Arabidopsis thaliana: one gene and its partners. The protein of the gene in region 1 interacts with the protein of each later gene in a pairwise test. Each region holds a gene or a part of one and is shown on either strand. Other genes may lie near its edges.

Evidence for each region.
Region 2: the proteins of SWAP70 (region 1) and PRA1.B2 interact in a two-hybrid assay, tested with the Arabidopsis thaliana proteins (one large-scale study listed by BioGRID).
Region 3: the proteins of SWAP70 (region 1) and AT4G00980 interact in a two-hybrid assay, tested with the Arabidopsis thaliana proteins (one large-scale study listed by BioGRID).

The regions. Positions count from the first base shown.
Region 1 is NC_003071.7:13,139,893-13,148,836, reverse strand, and holds SWAP70 (Pleckstrin homology (PH) domain-containing protein), read left to right. Parts: upstream 1-2,776; 5' UTR 2,777-3,118; coding exon 3,119-3,142; intron 3,143-3,254; coding exon 3,255-3,362; intron 3,363-3,569; coding exon 3,570-3,631; intron 3,632-3,723; coding exon 3,724-3,807; intron 3,808-3,901; coding exon 3,902-3,933; intron 3,934-4,041; coding exon 4,042-4,123; intron 4,124-4,385; coding exon 4,386-4,614; intron 4,615-4,855; coding exon 4,856-5,083; intron 5,084-5,165; coding exon 5,166-5,458; coding exon of another isoform or gene 5,459-5,462; exon of another isoform or gene 5,463-5,538; coding exon 5,539-5,911; 3' UTR 5,912-6,172; downstream 6,173-8,944. Other genes in the region: AT2G30890 (Cytochrome b561/ferric reductase transmembrane protein family), read right to left, coding at 439-606, 935-1,063; GSTF10 (glutathione S-transferase PHI 10), read right to left, coding at 6,445-6,899, 7,069-7,117, 7,204-7,347; GSTF9 (glutathione S-transferase PHI 9), read right to left, coding at 8,780-8,944.
Region 2 is NC_003071.7:16,862,151-16,868,970, reverse strand, and holds PRA1.B2 (prenylated RAB acceptor 1.B2), read left to right. Parts: upstream 1-3,383; 5' UTR 3,384-3,595; coding exon 3,596-4,237; 3' UTR 4,238-4,525; downstream 4,526-6,820. Other genes in the region: AT2G40390 (neuronal PAS domain protein), read right to left, coding at 10-649, 736-1,586. UniProt on the Arabidopsis thaliana protein: May be involved in both secretory and endocytic intracellular trafficking in the endosomal/prevacuolar compartments.
Region 3 is NC_003075.7:420,183-428,125, forward strand, and holds AT4G00980 (zinc knuckle (CCHC-type) family protein), read right to left. Parts: upstream 4,407-7,943; 5' UTR 4,399-4,406; coding exon 4,075-4,398; intron 3,958-4,074; coding exon 3,867-3,957; intron 3,753-3,866; coding exon 3,662-3,752; intron 3,511-3,661; coding exon 2,550-3,510; 3' UTR 2,296-2,549; downstream 1-2,295. Other genes in the region: CRK41 (cysteine-rich RLK (RECEPTOR-like protein kinase) 41), read left to right, coding at 295-505, 596-839, 931-1,081, 1,201-1,512; AT4G00990 (Transcription factor jumonji (jmjC) domain-containing protein), read left to right, coding at 6,853-7,047, 7,244-7,380, 7,469-7,568, 7,662-7,791, 7,874-7,937.

The DNA.
Region 1 (8,944 bases):
TGTTTTGTAACAAAATTGACTAGCTAGTAGGTGAGGTTTCTTAGTTAAGTATCAGAATGAGAGAAAGAGAAAGTCAGAAAGTCGTTAAAGCTAAAAATAAAGAGGAAGAAGATAGATGCTTTAGCTTGGCCTTCAAGTTTCCATGATTATCAATGTGATTAACAATCTAGAATAACCTAAAAGGCCCTACTAATTACTAATGGAGTACTAATTAAAAATCACGAAAAAGTTGTTAATTGGATGCAATCTTTATTGTTTAGATGAAGAGAGAAGCATCTTTGCTTTACTCTCCATCCACCTATCTTCTCGCACCGACCATTAAATTTCATTTTCAACTTATACAATACTTTCAACATACTTATGATTTAGTTTGTTGAATTGTAATATATATTTGATATATATAATTTAAATAAGAGAGCCAAGAAAAATGAAACATGCCTGAGAAGTGACATGAAGAAAGAAGAGTCGTCGAAGAGTGATTATAGGTTGGTCTTTGATAGACATTAATCTGATGGAGATTATACCAATTGGCATCAAAACACCCATCGCTGCCCAAAGCATAAAGCCATGCACTTTGATTTCGTACACAAGCTTTGGATTTAGTTTCTGTTCAAGAAAAATAAAAATAAGAGCTTCATACCAATATATATTCAGAGTTTTTGATTAAAGTTATTAACACGCAGGCATTTTATACAGAGAGTAGGAAAAAAAAACTATAACCTTTAAGCATCATGGAATAATAATATGTACATGACTTACATACATTATAATCATGCGATGATAAATAAACTCAATAGGTTATAAGATCAGAAACAAAGGAAATGCCTGGAGCTTCATTGTAAAGATTTATCAGCTATATCAATGAGATTATGAAGAGTTTGAGATTATTAGATTTTAATTAGGATAAGCGAGAGAGAAAGAAGAGCATACGAACCTCGGAGATAGGAGAAGTTTCGACTGGACCATTGACATCAATGGCCAAGCTTCTGGTGTTTTCTTGGGAGGAGCATAGGGGAAGGAGGAGGAAGAGGAGAGAGACTAAGAGTTGATGATGAATCTCCATGACTTCATGTGGTTTGAAGTTGAAACAATAAATACAAAGTTTAGAATTGATGATAATCAATTCATGAGTTCATTTCATAAGTATAACTGTTAAAGTTTGTGTGTATCTAGCTCTTTGTAAAGAATTGGATGACGGTATATATGGAACTTGAATACTTGATCCACTAGTTTCTTAGCTATAGATAGAAGAAGAGAAAAGAAAAGAAAAGTTTTAGAATTTGCTTTTAGAGTGTAAAGAAATGTGATAAAAAGAAAAAAAAAAAAAGTTAAGCTCGCAACTTTGTTATATAATATGGTTTTGCATGGAGGTTGATGGTTTATTTTACTAGTATCTCTGAATTTAAATGAAGAAAAGCAAGTGGAGGAATGGGCAATCGATTTGATATAACGAACTTCATTTTTGTCAATCTTAATTAGATGTTAATAATGATGTTTTATATCTAAAAAGGACTATATATATATAATTTGAGTATTGAATTTAATTAATGAATGTAAGAAAAAACAGAAGAATATTCAAGTGGATGTCACTATCTCTGCGACTCTACAGCACTTTTGGTTTTCTATGAAAAAAAAAAGAAGAAACTGAAACTGAAAATTCCTTAAGGTCAGATTCATCCAAAAGTAGAATTTTAATGGACTTTTATGTTTTGTGGAAGAATGTCAGATTTTGCAAGGGAAAGTGAGTCATGGCAGGTTGCACTAGCTCATAGACCACTAACAATATGTTACTGTCAACAAACATCATGATTTCACTATGGAAGGTATACATGAATGACCACATCACATGGATATATATTTTCTTATTTTCAAACACTAATCATAAGAACATACCAAATTTTAGATAAATGGTCAAACTTATAAATGTCAAAAGGTGTCCAAATTCTGTAGTATATTATATAGTAGAAGTTTCTTCTTATTTTGGAGATTGAATATAAAGGAGCCAAAAAAATATGGATTTTGATAGCTTCTTAGACGTTTCATTTAGGAAATATATGCATGGTTGGGTTGATGAGAATGCCATAGAAGTGAAAAACAAATGAGAAAATTCATACAAAAGGAATCTACATACGTAGAATAAAGCAAGAGGACCACTTCACGTTTTGCAGCTTTCCCACTTCAGTTAACCCCAAAATTGAATATTGTCTTGGCTTACATGTCTACTACTCTTTTGCTTTGATGCTTTTCAATCCATTTCTGTATCCCCAACAAGTTGTTGTGTTTCCTCCTCCTATGTAGTTATCAGCGCCTAGCTATTAAGGAAAGAGTATCATCATATCACATATGATTACTCAAATCTCATATATTATTGAATATTATGTTATGTACTTATATCATGTTTCATTACGACCATTAGGGAAGTTGTAGTACATTGAAAATCTTGAAGATTAAGAGAAAGTGTAAAGCTGTGTCTAACGCATCTATGTTTGAAGTCCCTGTGAACTAAGTGTCTAAGTCACCACTACCAAGCGTCGAAGCTAGTACGCAATATTTCACAATCTTGCACACATTTGAGATTAGTTGGGCAAAGTAAGAACTCTGCTCTCTCCTAAACGATTGGCTTGTTACAGCCCGGCCCATTGATGTTCCTTAGCCCATCGTTTATGTAAAGCTTCTCCCTTAACAAAGCCTACCTTCTACAGATCTACTTAATCATCCTCATAACCAAAAACAAAACAAAAGAATCATGTGATGACACCTCCACCGTCAGATCAAAAACCATAAAAATGAAGTGAACAAACAAAAAGTGAGAAACTCAAGAACCGGTTCATTTGACGAGTAAGCTGATCCAGTATCGTACCGACCGGTTAAGTTGATTTGATCGCGTTGAAAGAGTGAAGACAGATTCAACTGCAATTCCGCGAAACCAAACCTAACAGCATTTTTCTCCAATTCCTTCTTCTTCTTCTTCTTCTTCTGTAACCTCGTCTTCTTCAGCTTATACTCATAGCTATACCAAAGAAAACCTCTTAAAACCCTTCTTCTCTCGATCCATCGATCAGCAACAATTCACTTCTAATCGATCAAGAGCTTTCCGATCTCGTCGATCCCAATTAACATGGCTTCCAACGGCGCTTCTCCGGTCTTTTTCTCTCTTGATCTCTGTGTGCTACAATTTAGTCTCTTTCTTTTGGCTGCTTTTCTCATTCACACTCTTAAATTGACCCATTTTGTCAATTTCTGAAAATGCGCAGAGAATTGTTGATGCTACTGAGAACAGCTTGGATAAGATCAAGCGACAATTGGCATCTGGCTCTGGTCGGAACTTGCTACAAGGACCTCTTTTCAAGCGATCTGAAACTGTAAGTCCAATTTTTTTAAGTGAAAATGATCAAAACCAGTTTTTGCTTTATTGATTGGGATTTCTTAGTTAGCTCAAACTAAGAAGACTCTCTGATAGCTCACTATTAGATTTCTATAGCTTAAACAAGTCTTTTGGCCTGAAATGTCTTGGCTTATTCAAAGGTTCACAATGATAATATCTTTTGTTTGTGTTTATGTATGAATAGCTGAGAAAATGGAACGAACGATGGGTGATACTTGATCCAACAACAGGGAAAATGGAGTATAAGTGAGTTATATCAATTTGCTTATGTAGCTGCATTTGTGTGTAGACCACTTCATCATGGTTTTATTCATTTCTGATGTATTTCCATGACTCAGGACGAGGCGAAATGAGCCAACTATCAAGGGAACAATTTTGTTTGACGAAAATAGCACAATCTCCATCTCTCCTGTCAACTTCCAGTATGGATGCTACATTCTTTTTTTTGTTGCTCTGTATAATCATCATTATTTGGTGTCTGTTTGTATCATTGACTTTGTTTCTTTTGTGTTTCAGGGGGCTTCCAAAATATAATGGTTGCTGTATTTGTATCCTTGGTTTTAGTAAAATGTTGGCATATTTATAATTGTTTCTTTTGTCTATAAGGAGATAGTTGATTGGAATCTAGAGTTGAATTTTCTTCAACTTGATATAAGATATTGGTACCCCACAGAAGAAAGATTACTTTTTGTGTGCAGAGACTCCTGGTGCAGCTAAAGCTTGGGTCACAACCTTACAGTAAGTCATCTGGATCTTCATCTTTTTGTTTGCTTCTCTTTCTGTCCTTTTTATTTACTTACCATTCTCTAGAGAAGCCACCCCGCTTATTTCATCTATCTTAAATAATTCATAGTTGTGTTGATTTAATGGTTTCGTCGTCGACCATGTTGAAAGAATCATCTTTCTCTCTCTTTTTACGTTTCTTACTGAAAATGTAATACCTTCTAAATGCCCCTCAAAAGCCAATCTGATAAACCTTATCTTTCTTTGTTCGTTCCAGTGCGACACAGCTAGTTCTAAAGGCCCATAAGGAGGCTGTCGAATCTCTAAGTGGAAGTGGTTCTGCAACACTTGGTACCGTTGCAACCGTTGTTGCCGCTGCCAATTCAACAGCATTGGAATGTTCCAGAGAAATTCAAGCAGCAATGCAGATCTCTTTGAGGAATGCATTGAAAATAACGCCAAATAAACCGATTGATGGACCACTAGATGATTTGACAATAATGAAGGTGTGGTATCTTTGCATCTCTCTTTCTCTTCGAATTTGGGAAACTTTTGTGAATAGCATATTGACATCCTTTGGCTGTTGAGATTCTGAAATGTCAAGATGAACGATGAAAGCATATAGGGACACCTTACAGGAAACTCTGCTTGTCAAGGATGAAAATTAACAGAATTAGCATAAATCTTATTCGTCCATCTTCATTCTAATGTCCAGGTTAACCTTATTGAGCCACTTACATCTTACAGGAAACTCTGCGTGTCAAAGATGAAGAATTACATAATTTAGCCAGGGAACTTCGTTCTCGTGACTCAATGATAAAGGAAATAGCAGATAAGCTATCTGAGACTGCTGAAGCAGCTGTAGCTGCAGCATCTGCTGCTCATACAATGGATGAACAAAGGAAAATCGTTTGTGTGGAATTTGAGCGCTTGACTACAGACTCACAGAGACAGCAAGAAGCCACAAAATTAAAGGTAATGAGGCCATGTCATATATAGATACTTTTGCATCCTTGTGTATGTTTTGTTGTTTATTTGATCTTTATCTCCTATGTAGCTCAAGGAATTGGAAGAGAAGACCTTTACTTTGAGTAAGGAAAAAGATCAATTGGTTAAGGAAAGAGACGCTGCTCTCCAAGAGGCACATATGTGGCGGTCTGAGCTTGGGAAAGCCAGAGAGCGTGTTGTCATACTTGAAGGAGCTGTTGTGAGGGCCGAAGAGAAAGTGAGGGTTGCAGAAGCAAGCGGTGAAGCAAAATCAAAAGAGGCTTCTCAGAGAGAAGCAACTGCTTGGACAGAGAAGCAAGAGCTTTTAGCATATGTGAATATGTTACAAACTCAGCTTCAAAGGTGAGCCTATCTGAATCTATCTCCCAGGGAAACTCATGACTTTTGAAGGGTCATAAATCTCTTTATTTTTGAATAAACAGGCAGCAACTAGAGACAAAGCAAGTGTGTGAGGAGAAGACTGAGTCTACTAACGGCGAAGCTTCTCTTCCAATGACAAAGGAAACAGAAAAGAATGTGGATAAAGCATGTCTGAGCATTTCAAGAACAGCCTCTATACCGGGAGAGAATGTAGTCCATATGAGTGAAGAGCAGGTAGTAAACGCTCAGCCTCCGGTGGGAGAAAACGAATGGAATGATATTCAGGCAACAGAGGCAAGAGTTTCTGATGTAAGAGAAATATCTGCAGAGACTGAACGGGACAGAAGAAACAGCTTGGATATCCCGGTAGTGTCTCCTGAACCTAACGTTCCACGCAATGATCCGCCTTCCGAATCATTTCATCACCAGCCTTGAATAAAGATTGGTAGATCTTCGTACATTTTAATATACTCTTTGATGGTCTGGTAATGTTTGGAGAGTTGATTCTTCTAACAACAAAAAGAATTTGTCTTTTTAGTTTTCTTGTACATTCAAGAGTTGTTATGTATCTGCCGCTCTTGAATTTGTCTGACTAGGGAATGATTCTTTTTCCCTTTTATTACAACATGAAGAACAGAGAGATATGTGTTAAACTTTGACTTATGTTTTTGGATTCATATAAACCAGTTTTCATATAAATGCAATCCTTCAACAAACCACGATGGTTGTGATGTTAGTACCAGTTTTATCAAAGACCTACACTGAATAGAGGAATATACATGGGTTGAGTCACTCTGATTTTAAACTCTTATTGAAAAGCTTGAAAAGTTACAGAATACAAGAAACCAGAGACAACAAATGAGACAGAGTTCCGTTTCTTATTGAAACAACAAGACAATCGACCCGAAAACGAACTCCCTCAAAGAACACAAAGCTCACACAAACCCCCCAAGTCAACATCTCCTTGTTTAAACAGGTAGTGAGTACTTAGCGGAAACCTCCTTCCACGCAGCACGGCTACTAATCTTATCCCACCAAGCGCTAACATGCTTCCTATCTTTGATCAAATGAGCCTTCCCAATAGGACCAACAAGATACTCGGTGAAAGGAAGGTGAGCCAAATCAGCTAGACTCACAAAATCACCAGCCAAGTATTCGTTCTTAGAAAGCTGAGCTTCATAGACATCAAGCACTTCTGCAAGCTTCTCTTCACTCTCCTTAATAACTTTCTCATCAGCAGGGAAACCCATAAGTGGTGCAAAGACAATGTTGAGCGTTAAAGCCAATAGTGGTGGATGGTAACTTGTAGCCTCAACGTCTAACCATTGCTCTACTTGTCCTCTCTCTTCAATAGTCTTCCCCAAAAGATCAGGTCCTTGTGATCTATACTTCTCTGCTATATACCTCATGATCGCACGCGACTCTGCAACACAAATCGAAATCTCTTCAACACTCATTTACCTAAACAATCTTTTCCAAACAATCAAAAAAATCTCAAAGATCATGTGATTCATTGATCATGATCGCAAATGATCAGATCCATTATCAGATCATGACTCGTGTAGTAGTAGCTTAAAAGAGAAGAAGTGTACCGAAGATTTTGTAGTCTCCGTCGACGAGGACTGGGATTTTACCGAAAGGCTGCATCGATCGGAAAAAGGGATCATGATCGGAAATAGTCACCGGAAAAAAAGAAACATTTAGTAAAAAAGAGGGAAAATCGGAACCTGAATCGCGAGATACTCAGGCTGTCTCTGTTCTCCTTTCATGAGATCGACATTGACAGTTTCGAATGATACTCCCTTCTCCACCAATGTCACAACAGCTCTCTTTGAAGAAGCGAATAAAGGAGCATAGATTGTCAACACCATTTTTCTTCTCTCTTTTTTTTTCTACTATCAGTTTCTTTCTAAACTCACTATAGCAGGACGCGATTTTATAGAGGGAAAGAAAAGAGAGAGAAAAAGGGATCTGGTTAGCTGCGTTTGCGGTAGTAGGCTAAACGCAGTCGCACTTATTAGTATATTATTATTTATACGTGTCGGTATAGGTGGCGGCTAGCTAGTGGCGGCAACGTTTCACGTCATATTTGACTTTTCTCAGCACGAAATTTCCAACGTCCCATCAAATTATGAATTACATGTGTGTGTTTTTTAACAATGTTATTTATTCATTTTTAATAAGCCTAATAAAGAGAGAGACCACTTGTTGTAAGTATATTTGATTAAAGATATTCCCCACTTTGTTGTAATAAGATGCCAAAATGATTCTCACTTTTTTGAATCAACACATTTTAATAAAATAGTTACGAGACTTGATTACACTTTGTTTTGTTTTGGTTATAAAAAAAAAATGATCAGGCAATGGAAAACCTAAGTTAGCCGATTAAAATTAGGTTGGTGGGTACAAGAAAGTATTTATAAAACGTGATCGAATGAGCCCTCTTATTTTTGTAATTTATGTTCTGACAGATAACATTACTTTATCAACGCAATTATTAGATGCCTTAAACAAAAATTAGTGATCTAATTATCGAAACCAACTTTCATTATAGTGTCTATACTTTAATTTATACTATCCATCATTGGCCCCGAAAGACCAATAAACCTTTTTTCTTTCACTTTTGTCAAATTTGGTAGAGATGTTAAAAAAAAATCAGTGTATCGTCTGATGATGCACTTTATTATCCATAAATAAGCTGAGAGGCTTCTCTCAAAAAGCTTCATGAAAATCAAGATTTTATTCTTAGGGTACCTCTCTCTACTTTGTTTTACTGGTAGAGTGTTTCTTGCTAGATCAGTCACTTCTTCCAATATTCGAATGGTCTTGGTCACAAAACCAAGAATCTTTGGTTATGAATCAAAAGGCCGAGTAAAAGAAGCCAACCTAGATTTTATAGTTGTGGAAGTTCTTTTGTTATCAGACCATGTTCCAACCTAAACCGCAAACTAGTTTGAAGGTATCATCAATTATTTCATACTTCAGTACCTATCCATTATTGAGAGTCGATATGCAATCAATAAGATAGATTCCATCGACTAGGTCTCCCGTCTCGCGCGCTAATCCGACCTTTCATTCATAATTAATTTTCTTAAGCTAGTTAAATCATTCAAGTAGTAGAACTAGGGGAAAAGATCATTTCCTTAAAATTGAAAGCCTCACAAAGCCATAAAGATACTTATTAAACTACAAAAGGAAAGAGAACACAGAGGTGGCAACATTACATTAAGAGGTACATTTAGTTCCACTTTTATTAAACCTCTCATAAAACACAAACCACATCACCAAGAAGATGAACACATCTTAAGCTGGGAATGAATACTTGGCAACAGTCTCCTTCCACGCAGGACGGCTGCTAATATCATCCCACCACGCGCTCACGTGTTTCCTATCTTTGATCATGTAAGCTTTCCCAATCGGACCAACCAAGTAATCAGTGAACGGGAGGTGAGCCAAATCAGCCAAGCT
Region 2 (6,820 bases), 3.7 Mb from region 1:
AAGAAATATCTAAGGAAGATTGAGGTAAAGCATCTCCTTAAATTCCAACTTTCTAGTATCACTATAAAAAGTATGATGCTTGTTAGGCCAATAAGTCAACCAAACGCAACCTTTAACCTCAAACTCCATTACTTTCCCAATAGCCGTTTTATCAACTTTCCACAAAACGCTTTGCCCATAACTATCTCCTGCAAACACAACTCCTCCTTGCTTCGTGAACGGTCTAAACGCGCTCGAGTACCGGTTCTTGAACCAAGCTCGAGGGTTCATCATCGAGACTTTCGATGGTTTAGAGGACGAAACTTCTCTTCCATCGTCAAGATCATGGAGAAACCAAGTGAGATTGGCGCTATAACCATGAACCCATTCCTCGAACTTCCATGGCTTCATGCTTTTTGTTGTGGTCTCGTTGGCTGAGACTTTTAGTCCAAAGAATGTGTTTGGTGGATCTATTGTTGCTTCTATGCCTTTCTCTACTTCGAATTCTGTCAATGGGTTTTCTGAAGATTTTTGTACGGATACCATTAAGATGTTTGATTGATTCGTTGGTGTTAGTTGCAATGATATTCTTGAGGGGAAATGTTTTTCCTCTGTTCCCATGCCACGTTCCGATAATAGTTTCTCGTTCACAAGCCTTATTATGTCGCACCTAGTTATAAACAATATCTATAGTTAAGAGAAATTAATATGAACAAATTACTTATGTATGCTTGATTACACACAATTTTACGATACCTGACGTTGTCAATATTTACTGCGACGTTAAACCACTTTTCACGAACGTAAATCCTGTGGTTCAATTGGATTACACCTTCAAGTTGATGATAGTTTAGCGAGAAGAACAATCTCTCGTCGTTTAGAGAACTATTTACGCTCTCCATTTCCATTGCTACCACAGGACAATACATATGAACTTTCCATAGACCTTGAGTCGAGAAAGCATATGAAAACAAAGGAGAAGGAGACTTGAGATGCTGAAACGCTTTGATCTCGATGATCCAGTTGGTTATTGCAAGGTTCAGCGATCTCATCCATTGTTCTTCAAGGTTAGAGCCTAGTTGCACCATGAGCAACTTAGAGCCCTGCCTTGACCTACAAGTTACCAGCTGATCTTTCACCGTTTTGAGACAAGTTGTTCTCAGGCTCGTTGGCGCCTCGTAGATGCAGATGAGGAACACGAAAGTGAAGAAAGCGAGGTTGAAAACGTCTTTGAGGTTAGAAGTGGAGCCTAGGTTTTGGAGTTGGATTGAACAAGTGGTTCTCTTGACGTTATAGTTGAGAACAACGTCGACAAAACCCATCAATAGAGTAGATATGACGTTTTCATTGAGGAAAGTAGTTGAATTAGTGCTAATGGTTCTGAAAGTTTTTGAAATAAAGAGAGTAATAGGAGTCTTGAAATTGGCTACTATCGAGAAGGTGAAAAAGTTTGGAGATTGAGGGGTACGAGTAAGAGTGAAGTTCAAAGATGGGTGTGATGAATTTGGAGAGCAAATACACATGGACATTAAATTTCCTTTCCATAGAGAAAGAGGAGGAAGAGTTTGAAGCCAAGCAAACGCATCAGGTGTGTCACAAGAAGCCATTAGAGCTAATATTGAATATCTAGTTGTTGTTCTAGATATGTGTGGTATAGAGAGTATATGATTAGAAGACTAGATTTATCATTTATATATAGAGAGAACATTTTAATGAGTGGAAGAAAAGTAAAGGAAGAAAGATTCGCTTATTTTTTTCAAAAGGTAAGCTAAACAAAATCATGAACTATTTTACGTAAACCAGAAAATATAGAGCTACGCACGAACACGAGACGTCTCTTTAGTAAAATATTGAAAATTTGAAATGTGATAATGATTAAGAGTCCTGCAAATTATGAGATAACGTACAAGGAAAAAGGTTTAGATGATAATTAGAGTAGCTAGACCGTTAAGAGGGATGTAATTAAATTGATAAAGTACGTGCTATTCAAGATTCTTCCATATGTGGATTTCAACCCGAATTTCCAAGAAATATTCTTGATTAGGCCGACGAATATTGTTATTCGATGCCTCTATTCTACTCAATAATGTTTCTTCGTCTTTATTTAGTTTACTAATTATATGTTTGATACATAAATAAATACGAATTATGGAGTGTGTTTGTATATACATAAATACGAATACGAATTATGGAGTGTGTTCAAATAATTATACATAAATAAATAAATACGAATTATGAATTATATACAAATATAAATTATATACACTTGAAGCCTGACGATTACAATAGCAGCTGATCATTATCTTCGGGGTGAATTCAAATTATGGATTGTGTTTGATTTCCTCAAGTCTTAATTTTCATCTACTTTTCAAACGACTAATTAATAGTGGCTACATAACTAACGACTCGATGATAAACACTCCAAAAAGCAATCAATCACTTGAGCAAAAGTTCAAAAGAAAACACTCCAAAAAGCAAACGCAAACACCAAACAAAACAAAACTCAAGTAGAGTTTTAGATAAAGCAACAGTAGAATTTTAGAAAAACCAAATTAAAACACCAAGTGTTTATGCCAAATAAATTGGCTAGACGAAGCAAAACAAGAACACATTATTGATAGTGTAGATTTGGAGTTCACTAATTGATAGTGCAACGTTTGAGTTCAACATTGCCTAGGCTGAGTGAGAATATCTTATTGTTTCCATCCACGAATTTGAGAAAGTAACTACATGTTACCTTTACCTTCTTGTTATTCTCGTCAACCTCATTTATCTCGGTCATCTCAACATGAACAAGTTCCGCAAACCTCCATTTGTTTTCATTATCTCATTTTGATTGTCCCAATCATGTCAAACTCATCTTTTATCGCTTGCACCCCCTTCTTCATGTAGTCTCCACCACCGGTTGCATAGGCGTCTTTAAAAATGCTCTCGAGTTCCCTCCAGTTGTCTTTGCCCCAAGTTCCTGGTGTCTCAAGACACCATAATTCATATATAACTCATAATTCATATTTATTTATGTATATAATTTGTATTTGTATATAATTCATAATTTGTTTAGCTTCAAGTGTACATAATTTGTATATAATTTAATTTCACAGTTTATAGATATATTTAGTAAACCTTTATCATTCATGATCAATTGATCATATGATTGTTTCATTTGTTCAACGAGAACACTCATAGGGTGGGAAATGAGATGATAATTATTGAAATGATCATATAAACAATTGTAGGAAGTCGTAATTTATCTGCAAATAAAATTAGAATATTATTAACTACACTAATTTACTAGTTTGTGTTGTGTTATCCTTGTAACATCATATAGATACAAACCACTGAACCAGTAAGATTGTTTGTTTGTTGAAAAAAAAAAAATGGTTTTATGAACCAATAGTGGAATATATTGGGCCTCTTCCAACATTATAGACCCATCTAAAAATTGCTATTAACTCCAACTTAATATATTGGGCCTATTCCAAAACATTATAGGCCCATAAAATTTAGGCCTTTAGAATATCTAACACGGTTTTGCCGCAACTTCAGTTTCCACTAAAATCGGAACAACAAATTCACACTCTCTCCGCCGCGCACAGACTCACCGACACCACCAATAATGTCTTCTTCTCCGGCGATTCTTCCCGTCACCAACCAGCAAGCAGCCACTCAATCTCAACCTCCAATCAATTCTCACGCCTTCCGTACTTTCCTCTCACGCCTCTCGTCCTCTCTCCGCGAAAGCCTCTCTCAACGCCGTCCATGGCTAGAACTCGTAGATCGGAGCTCCTTCGCTAGACCTGACTCTCTCACCGATTCCTTCTCCCGGATCCGTAAGAATCTCGCTTACTTCAAAGTCAATTACTCCGCAATTGTCTCGTTAGTCCTTGCTTTCTCCCTCCTCTCGCATCCATTCTCGCTTCTCGTCCTCCTCTCTCTCTTAGGCTCCTGGATGTTTCTCTACCTCTTCCGATCTTCAGATCAGCCTTTGGTTCTCTTTGGTCGTAGTTTCTCAGATCGTGAGACTTTGCTTGGTCTTGTTTTGACTACGATTGTGGTTGTGTTTATGACGAGTGTTGGATCTTTGTTAACATCGGCGTTAACGATTGGAATCGCGATTGTTTGCTTACATGGTGCGTTTAGGGTTCCTGATGATTTGTTCTTGGATGAACAAGAGCCTGCTAATGCTGGTTTACTCTCGTTCATTGGTAATTCTGCTGCTACTTCTGCTGCTGCTTCTGTTGTTGCAGGACGAGTTTGAGAAGCTCGAATTTGATGATTCTGATCCTAGAGAACAAACGAAACCTGGATTCTCAGGGTTTTTAGTTATGTTTTGAGTATAGATTCGATGAAGATCTGTAAGTGTTAGATCTAAAGATGCATTGTTGTGTTGTATTCTTCAATTTCGTCACAATTTAGAAAATTTGGAGCTGATCCTTCTCAAGTATTGTAAGATCTCATTTACCTTAAATCAATTTGATACTCTTTGCCTTCATCACCATATGTTTGAGTTAGATTTAGACTAAACCAGTGAAGATTATAGTTTGACCAAAGTATTAAGGATTAAACAAACAACATGTAGTTTAACAACATACGTGGTAGATGTAAATCTTGTAACTAGTTATGTCTATGTCTCTCTAGCTACCAACTATTTTATTCTTCCACAAGTTTCCTCTATCTCGAAAGCGAACAGCCAATACTGTGTACGAATTTGCTGATAGTAAGAGGGTTATATCATGGGAAAGTTTCCCACTGGATTTACATGTTTGGCCAATTTGACAAAAACGACACACGTTTAGTTTGGGGATTTTGTCTTAAAAACTCGGCTGCCAAAAACAAACTGAAGATTCGGTCACCTGAATTGTCTTTTTCGGTCAAAGTCTCACTGAGTTGCTTCTTTCTTAGATATAATATAGGTGACCTGTTTTTAATCTTCATAACATGAGATATATTTTCGTGGAATGAGTTGTGTCTTGTGAAATCTTTTTTCTTTGGTTTTAATGTTAAGAATGTCTTGTGAAATCTTTTCCTGGATTCTAATTATTGGTGAGAATGTGAGATAAAAACAACACTTAGGTACTAAGTTACTAACCATTAAACATGAAGATAAATAGACAAATCCTCTTGTGTAAAGAAGATTATCCCACTTGTAACGAGAAGGTTTGACAAATCGACAACAAAAATGTGAACCTAGTTAGGGTTCGTACCCACTTTTGACTAATGGAATTAAGATACAAAGGAAACCAAAGAAATAGAGTAAACCAATATAATTCCCATGCTACTAATAATTAATCAAGAAATTTCATAAGTAGCAGTTCAAGATATCGTCATTTCTCATGTCATTTCAAAGACCATGATTTCTTCTCGGAAGGATAATTAAACGAAAGCTTAAATTCATATAGCTAGTGAAGATATTTTGTGAGGAAAAATATATATCTTATGTACTGAAAATATATATATTACCAGAAGGTCTCATGTGAAAACATCTATACTTCTAATTGTAAAACTGAATGACTAGATTATAATTTTCCAGTTGAAATAATAGAAATTATTTTTAAAGTTAATAGGAAAGTGGTATAATTAGAGAACAACACACAAAATCTAGACAAGTAAAGCATGTTGTTGACTATGAACATAATTGTAGATGCGGGGTCAATGTCACTTTGCTATATACAAAAAGGTACGGCTAATTTCTAAACATGAGATTGTCATTATCAGAGATTTAGCACATAGAGAGGTTAAAGATACCAAAGAAGAAGACACTAACTAATTCCACCAAACATAATTACTAATTTCTTGTTCACCAATCCATGTCCCCAATATTCTTCTCATGTACTTCTTCTTTCTTAACAACATGATGTTAACATTTTTTCCCAACTTTATTACCTTTCGGATGGTTATTGTTAAAGATATTTACGTAACGGATTACATGGTCTCTCCTTTCCAAAAGTATTAACTTAATCTTTTAGGAAAAAAAGTTTTAGTTAAAAAAAGTTCTTCCGTATATTTACGTAAGGGGTACACAGTTTTGACGTTTCAATACATATTGGCAAAAACCAAAACATAAAGGAAACAATTTACGACATATAGGTGTAGAGGTAGCTAGATTCGGTTAAAGAAAATTAAAGGTGTTATTGTTAAGACAAGAATATAGGGGTTGAAAAAAGTTGTGATTTAGGCGGTTAGACGAATCATCTTGTTTACCTCAACTCATTTTTACTTTTTTCAACACTAACAAAACAATGATCATTTTTACTTAAGCTTGAAGCCAATCTTATTGTACCAATTTTAAACCACAGAGTTTTCGTTATGATGATAATAATATTAATCTTTCTACGCAATGATGTTACAGTTGATTCATAAGTTTCTTTCATATACGGGTTTGTATGAAGCATATGGTATGGAAAGTTGACCTTACGGTTTTTTTTTCCTTATATTAAAAGTTGACCTTATGTTATGTCTCATATTTTTATTTGTATTAAGTATGAAAACAACATTGAGATTTTGCAAATTCAGATGGGAGGTGGTCAAAAGTGTTACGGACAAGCCACATAAACCCTAAAATGGACCATTCTTCCTCGTAAATTAGTGTTACGGACAAGCCACATAAACCCTAAAATGGACCATTCTTCCTCGTAAATTGGTTTCCTTTTCTAAGAAAAATAATACTAGTAATAATTAAACATAAAGAGAATAATCGTTTCTGGCTTCTTTTTTTCGTTCAATCAACATATTATGCAAGTTTGTATTTGGACGATCACAAACACAAGTTGTCGTTAACAGACTGCGAAATATATTTTTTAAGTCTAACTTATATATTCCAAAAGTTTCTAAAGATGAGGAA
Region 3 (7,943 bases), on another chromosome or scaffold:
TGGTATTTTCAACAGAACATGACACTCACAAACTTCATATATTTCATCAGAGGCAACAATGTGAGCGAGACAAAAACTAATCTAATCCAGTTTATTCGAGCAAATAGAGAAAACTAATCTCACATGAGATGAGTAGTTCATGTTGCGGTTTATTCTTATGACATGAGATGAAGGTTTGTAACCAAGCAAAGTAATCGCCATCATCATCATCATCAAAAAGAGACATCACCTTAATTTTGAAACCAAGCACTCCAAAGACTTGATCTCTTTGACATGTGTTTAAATAATCACCAGGGTGTTCTTGATTATGGGGAAGAGATAGCTGTGAAAAGATTGTCAATGAAATCAGGACAAGGAGACAATGAGTTCATAAACGAAGTCTCATTGGTTGCAAAACTCCAACATCGTAACCTTGTTAGGCTCTTAGGTTTCTGCTTACAAGGAGAAGAACGAATTCTCATCTATGAGTTCTTCAAGAACACAAGCCTAGACCATTACATATTTGGTACCTTAAACTAAACCCCAAACAAATGTATCTCTCTATTTATAGTAACTTATTTAATGATTGATCCAAATTAGTTGTTTTCTTTCGCAGATTCTAATAGGAGAATGATCTTAGATTGGGAAACACGTTATAGGATTATCTCAGGTGTTGCTAGAGGTCTTCTCTATCTCCATGAAGATTCTCGTTTCAAGATTGTTCATAGAGATATGAAAGCCAGCAATGTTCTATTGGACGATGCAATGAATCCGAAAATCGCGGATTTTGGAATGGCAAAGTTGTTTGATACTGACCAAACAAGTCAGACCAGGTTTACAAGCAAAGTTGCAGGAACCTAGTAAGCTACCATTTTAAAAACTACCCTTTAAGTTATTATCAATTCTGTAAAACTAAAATGAAAGCCAAAACATTATTTGCTCGTTTGGCAGCGGTTACATGGCTCCAGAGTATGCAATGAGTGGCGAATTCTCGGTAAAAACCGATGTATTTAGCTTCGGTGTACTAGTCCTTGAGATTATTAAAGGTAAGAAAAACAATTGGTCTCCAGAAGAAGACAGCTCATTATTCCTCCTTAGCTATGTAAGTGAATAAAACTCTTGCTTTGTTTTTTTTGACTCTAGACTTTGAGTTTGGGGTTGTAATTGAGGACTCATATATTGTCTTGATTTCAAGTCATATATTGTCTTTTATACGTATAGGTATGGAAGAGCTGGAGAGAAGGGGAAGTGTTAAACATTGTGGATCCAAGTTTGGTTGAAACAATAGGTGTCAGTGATGAAATCATGAAATGCATTCACATTGGTTTGTTGTGTGTTCAGGAGAATGCAGAGAGTAGACCAACAATGGCTTCTGTTGTTGTAATGCTCAATGCAAATTCTTTCACTTTACCGAGACCCTCGCAACCCGCATTTTACTCGGGAGATGGAGAATCATTGTCAAGAGACAAAAATCAGATAAATCATATTGCATCTTTGAATGATGTTACAATTACCGAGTTCGATGCTCGTTAAATTTGTGTGTAAAAGACAAAAATGAAGATTTCTGTTTGCTTTAAAGTTACACTTCAAAATGTCAAATGACGTTTGAACTTAAAATTCTTTGTCCTAATGAAACCATAATCTCTAATTATTGGGCTTGAACATATATGGGCTTTGTTAACAATGTAGGCCCATTAGTGTTTTTTTCCTCGTGTAGGCCCATTAGCTTATGATTGCTTTTTCTTAGGAATTTTGCGTCCCACATCGATAAGCTAGTGGAGAAACGTTTTCTTTATATATGGATACAAAGCATCAATGGTCACGACCTTACTTGAACTATAGGCTCGTACATCTGTTTTCTTGAGAAAATTTCTCAAGAGACAGGCCCTAAACCCTTGTTGATGAACCGTGACCGTGCGGCTTGAGCGTGATTGACGGCTACGATTGTCCTTGGATGCATCCGGTGCTGTAGAGGATGGTTACTCGGCTCGGTTCTCCCTTGCCGGGGTGGTCGCACGGCGGTCTGACAGGTTTCATTTTTTTTCCTTTTCACCCTGAAACTTTTAATTTCTTCTATTTTTCACCCGCTAATTTTATATTACTCTCCATCTGGTCCTTTTTAAAATTTCGACGTTCAAGTTTAATTTTAGAGGCTGAGAATATCTTCCATAACGCTTGGGACAAAGAAACTCTTAATTTTTGGTTGTGTGTTAAGTATTGTCACCTCAATTGATGTCAGTTTATTTGTTTGTATATCAGTTTTGAGGTTTCTGTTTTTATTTTGGTTCCTCAAAATAGGATTTAAAAAGCAATTTTGACAAAAAAATTATCATTCATAAAAGTATACTTTTACATTAAATCAGGCCAAAACTGATCTATTGGTCATCTCTCTGTTCTTCTTTTATACATTTCAGTGTCATAAATCTAATAGGCCAGACATATGGACAAGCTGAAAAAAGGTCATAAAAGGACTGCTTCTGAATCCTGAATCAACGGTATTCAAAAGACTTACCTCTTTAAGTATATCTGTGAAGAGATATAAACATTTTGGCTTCAGCAATCATCAACTACTACCCCCTATCATTGTTTGTTGTTGCTTGAGTCTCTGATTCCACAGGTGCAGCGACTGAGGAGTTGATCCGGTTTGATTTTCCGGAAGCTCTCTCATCAGATTTACTACCCCAGCAATGCTTTGCGAGATGTCCTTTCCTCCCACAGTTGTCACAGACGATGATGACTCTCTCGTCTCTCTCAGGTTCTTTCCTCTTCCAACCTACGCTCTGAGATCCTCTATGTGTTGTTCCTAGACTCGGTGTCCTTTCCATCTGAGAGGAGCCTGTGGCTGGTCTATATGTAACCCCTTTTGCTCCATTTCTGAGAAGCTCTTCCTCAGCTTTTACTCGTTCCATCAACATCCAGACTGGTAAATACTCCTCTTCCATTAACCTGGTGCAGAAGCCTCTCCAAGACGGGGGAAACTTGGAGATGATGGTACTCACATGAAATGCCTCATCAAGAAACATACCAGCACTCACTATGGAATCCGCAATCTTGTTAAAGACTTGGACTTGCTCGAGTATCGGTCTCTCTTCCACCATTCTGAATTCAATGTACTTTCTGACTTGTGACCTCTTCGATTTGGATTCATCACACTGGTAGACCCATTTTAACTCGTCCCACAATTCTTTGGCATGCTTAAATTTCTGAGAGTATCGACGGTATAGATGATCTGACAAGGAGTTCATCAAGTGAGTATAGCACAGGTAATCATCTCTCAACCATTTTTTCCCCGTAGCATCAGCTCGAGTTATTTCCCTGGGGTTGGTTTCAGGGCCTTGAGAGCTACCAATACTGGGACAAGGTTCAGAGAGTACATAAGTCAGCTTCAATTGCTTCAGAAAGAGTTCCATCTGTGAAGCCCAGTAAAGATAACTCTTTCCATCAAATCGTGAAATCTTGATAACAGAAAAACCGTGAGAGCTGTCCTTATCCACAGCCTCAGAAGTATCTCCATTTCGTGCTGCTTCAGATCTGCATAACGTTTAATAGCAAGATAAGCAGCCTACATTGCTAGCCAGACAGTAATGCCCTATGCCACGATGATTATATGACCATAAAACACTAAAAGCAATGCCAGGGAACATGAATCTTTATAGACTTAAAATAAGGTACACATTCTTACTTTAGTTTTGATTGGCACTGCTTAATACCGTCCTCTATCGCTGCAAAATTCTTCTTGATTACAGACCATTGGTTAGTTGACAAATGTGCTCCTGACAGAGAAGAAACATCTAACAATTGAAATCAACAGGAGCATATCTAAAACAAAAATGGCTACTTATAGCTTCATAGTCAAGACCAAGACACCAAGTTGTGTTTCAAATTACCTCTAAAAGCCTTTCCATGTTCCTGAGAACCAATCGATAGAAAAGGTTGGCCTCTGTATCTTTGAACCGTCGCATTTTGCTTCTCCGATAACTACAGTTAAAGACCAACAATTTCTACAGTGACCACTGAAAAACTCAAAATCGAGATGATCACAATCTCTACTCTATACAGTGAATCAAACATAGAACAAATAGGCAAAGTCGCAACCTTACAAATAAAGCGCTCATCTTCACCACCAACGGAAGCGGCAGCAACAGAAACTGTCTCATTTTTCGCCGGAGCCACCGTCTCCGGTACGAGTGCTTCACCGGGAGTCGATAGCAAAAAGACCTCAAGAACATCTCTGACTAGCTTCTTGTGATTGGTTCCCGATAAGTCGATACCGAGTTTAGCCGAAGCGTCAAGTCGGAGTTTGAACTCCGTCATTTGGTCCATATCAGATTCACTGAGTATGCTCTTCACTGTTTCCTCGATTTTTTGTGTAGCGACAATCTCCATAGTTTCACCAGAATCAAGCAACGAATTCTCCATTTCGCCCGAAAAAGAAGAAAAAAAAGGATAAAGAAAAAGATTTCGCAGTAGCGTCGAGTTTTGGTTGTTGGCCGGCGTTATATTTAGGGTTCATAAATCGCCGGGGGAAAAAATTTGGCCGGAGTGTGAAAAAAAGAGGTTCTACCGAGAATTGAACTCGGGTTACTGGATTCAGAGTCCAATGTCCTAACCGCTAGACCATAGAACCTTTTTGCTATAGCTGTTGCATTTAATACTTTATATATGCAAATATATATATATGAGTTTTTTTTCCTTATCTATATATCTTTTCTGTTTTATAATACGATATATGAATACATGGGTGAGATACGAATACGATTGAGAAATATATGGGTGAAATACAGTTTTTCTTCACGAAGCCGATAAGATACTAAGAGTCGAATCCTTCTAGAAACTAAACCGACAGAAAGCAAATTATTTTTGAAAATTAAGCTCAAACAAAAGAGGCTAAATATAAAGATAGCAAGGTAATAGTCATTAACATTTGTTGTGAATAATCTAGTTTGGGCTAATGTTAATCTTGTTTTACTTGTCTTCTCACTGCATTGCAGCTTAAGAAATTAGTATTGCATGCTGCGAGCTCAGACTCAGCCAGAGGGCTAACCCAACAGATTTTGATGCCTAAAACATCTTTAAGCTCATTTAAAATTCTTAAGCATTTTAAATCTATTTATAATTAAAGTCTCAAAAAAACGAAGGTAAGGTTCGAACTGTCCACGAAAGAGTCACTAATCTATGAAACAATCACTAGACTACGAAACATTTTTAAAATTTGATGCCCTTTAATATTATCTATAATTTTAGGCGCGTAAAGCATGAGTTTCACCAACTTTAGCCCAGGGCCGGCCCTGCTCAGCCATAAGAGAAGCAAAAGATGTAATGCAAAACTCCAATACGCAGTAATGATAACAAAAAAAAGTTTGTTCGTTAAAGCTTATCAATGCTTACAAAACATCAAAACCAACTTGACATGTGATGGCAGTAACAAAATCGAGAAGGCGATGCTAAAAGTAACTTCATAAACTAGATTGATCAAAAGTACTCATAGCTTCGGAATCAACATAAGACACCAAATATGTTCAAGTCACCTTTAAAAGCAAGTTAATAGCCAACAAACAATGTGCATTTCACATTTCGCTTCTCCAATAACTAATGCCTAACAATTTACAGAAAACATCACTTCTTTCCTCGACAATCCATTGTATTATTTTCGTGAAATGTCATCATAGAAGAAGCACTTAAAATGAAAATTGGGTTGGCCCATGAATTTGAATTCTCTAACCCAAGACCAAAACCCATAAAAGTTATTTACGACCATCGAACCACTTTTTTTTTTTTTTTTTTAACGGCAAACATTTTTCTATTAATTAGCCCAAATGGGCTTCATAAACAGGTACAACTTGAGGCCAAAAGCCCACTAATTGCAAACATTAAATAGACAATATGATGACACATGTATGCAATGTGGAGATTGCAGCGTAGATCAACGTTTCAGCACATGCCCCGTCACTGCTTCGCCGGAGAAATCTTCCGCCGGTCAGCAAATGATTCAGCTCCTCCATGAAACTTTCTACCCACATTTAGTTGTACCGAATGCCTTTTGCCAAGGATCACCGGAAATAGTCTATTGGAGTTAGTTTGGTCACCGGAAATTTAAACTTCAGCTGATTAGGATTAGAATATTCCTTGGAGGACCATTAAAACATGACGTGAACCCCAACTCGTCATACTCTTCTCCAATCAACCACAACACCTTGATCTATCATCCATGAAGAACCGATGCCCTTACGCTTTTATTAGCATAGCGAGGAATTTTCCTTCACATGGAAGAGTAATCAAGCATCCAATGAACACATTTCCATCTAAAAACCTCCAAGAATTAAACATCTTCTAAAATTGAAAGTGTTGATTTACAACCTGCAAAAGGCCTTATAAAAAACCGGCAAAGAAAACCGAAAGAAACTCCGAACAATTCGGAAATTAAAACCGGCAAGATACCGGAAACAAAAGAAAAGAAAAAAAACTTAAATGAAATCCGATTTCAATCGGAGAAAATATTAAACAGAGTTTTCCTCTCTCTCAAAGATACCAGAGAGAACCACTTGGTTAATTAAAGAAAATCTATTTTAACCGGTTGTTTAAAAAATAGTTAAATTTGGAAAGAAAACAGAAGTTGAAACGGTAGAATAGTAAAAAGTAATGAAACGTCTTGTTCCCTAATTAATAATTACTTACGATTCACGAAGTAGACTTTAAAGCCCATACTACCCTCTGGACTGTGGCCACGTCACTCTCCTTTAACTACTTTGATAGTCCCAAAGCTGCGACGGCGATAAATCGATGAATTAACGACGTTCGAAGAAACTCCAGAGGTCTCTTCATTTTCCTTTTGTATACTGGTAAAAATTGGTGGTCTCTTCTTTGTCTCCGAGTATGGAGAAAATGAGAGGGAAGCGAATCAGACCAAGAGATTCCGGCGAGTTAGTCGAAGATGGGAGATCTGAAAGCGAGCGTAAGACGAGGAAGAAAGAGAATGATGTTGTGAGCAAAGGAAGAATCGGAAGAGGAAGAGGAAGAGGAGAGGTTTCGAAGCGATCTATTGAAATAGACATTTCTAATCCCGAGAAGGTTAATTCCTTTCTATAATTGCTTCATTCAAATAGATAGATGAATCTCTTTCATGATTCTGTGGAGTTGTTAAAATTTGCTTTCTCATGCAATTATTTAGCTGCAAAATTTGTGTGAATGTTGTTTATTTCGATTTGGTGAATTTTATTTGTTCGGATGTGATGAGAATATGTTTTTGGAACCCTAATTCTCCCAGGATATTAAGCCTGACGGAAGCAGAAAGTGTTTGGGTTCGACGTGTCATCATTGTAAGATCTTGACGAGTGAGAGTGATCTTATCTTCTGTTCAAAGTGTAACAAGAAGTGTTATTGCTTTGACTGCATCAAGAGATCGTATGTATCTGCACTGTTCAGTATTACGTTATACTAGTTTATGATTTGCGGTTTCCAGGAGAGTTTTAACTATTTTGAATCTTGATAGGTATTCAGAAAGAACACATGAGGAAGTTAGAGCTGCTTGTCCATTCTGTATGATGACTTGCATTTGCAGAGCTTGTTTGCGGTTGCCTTTGGTTATCAAGGTAAGTGGGCTTGAGATCACTTATTTCTTGTGGATCTACTGAGATGAAATGTCTCCTTCAATATGATTTTTTTTTTTTTTTTGTGAATCTCAGCCTCCAAGTGAAAAAGATACAGATGTCAAGCTTAAGCAGCTGCAGTATCTGTTAGTCAAAGTTCTCCCAGTTCTTAAGGATATTTATACGGAGCAGAACCGTGAACTAGAGATTGAATCAACAATTAGAGGTAAGGCTCTTTGTCTTCACTTGTGCTATCCTCTTATTTCTTCCTCTTTCTATTCTCCACTCACGAACCTTTTTTATTCTAGGACACCCTGTGACAGAAGCTAATATCAAGAGGTGCAAACTTGACCCAAGCGAACGCATATACTGGTAAGA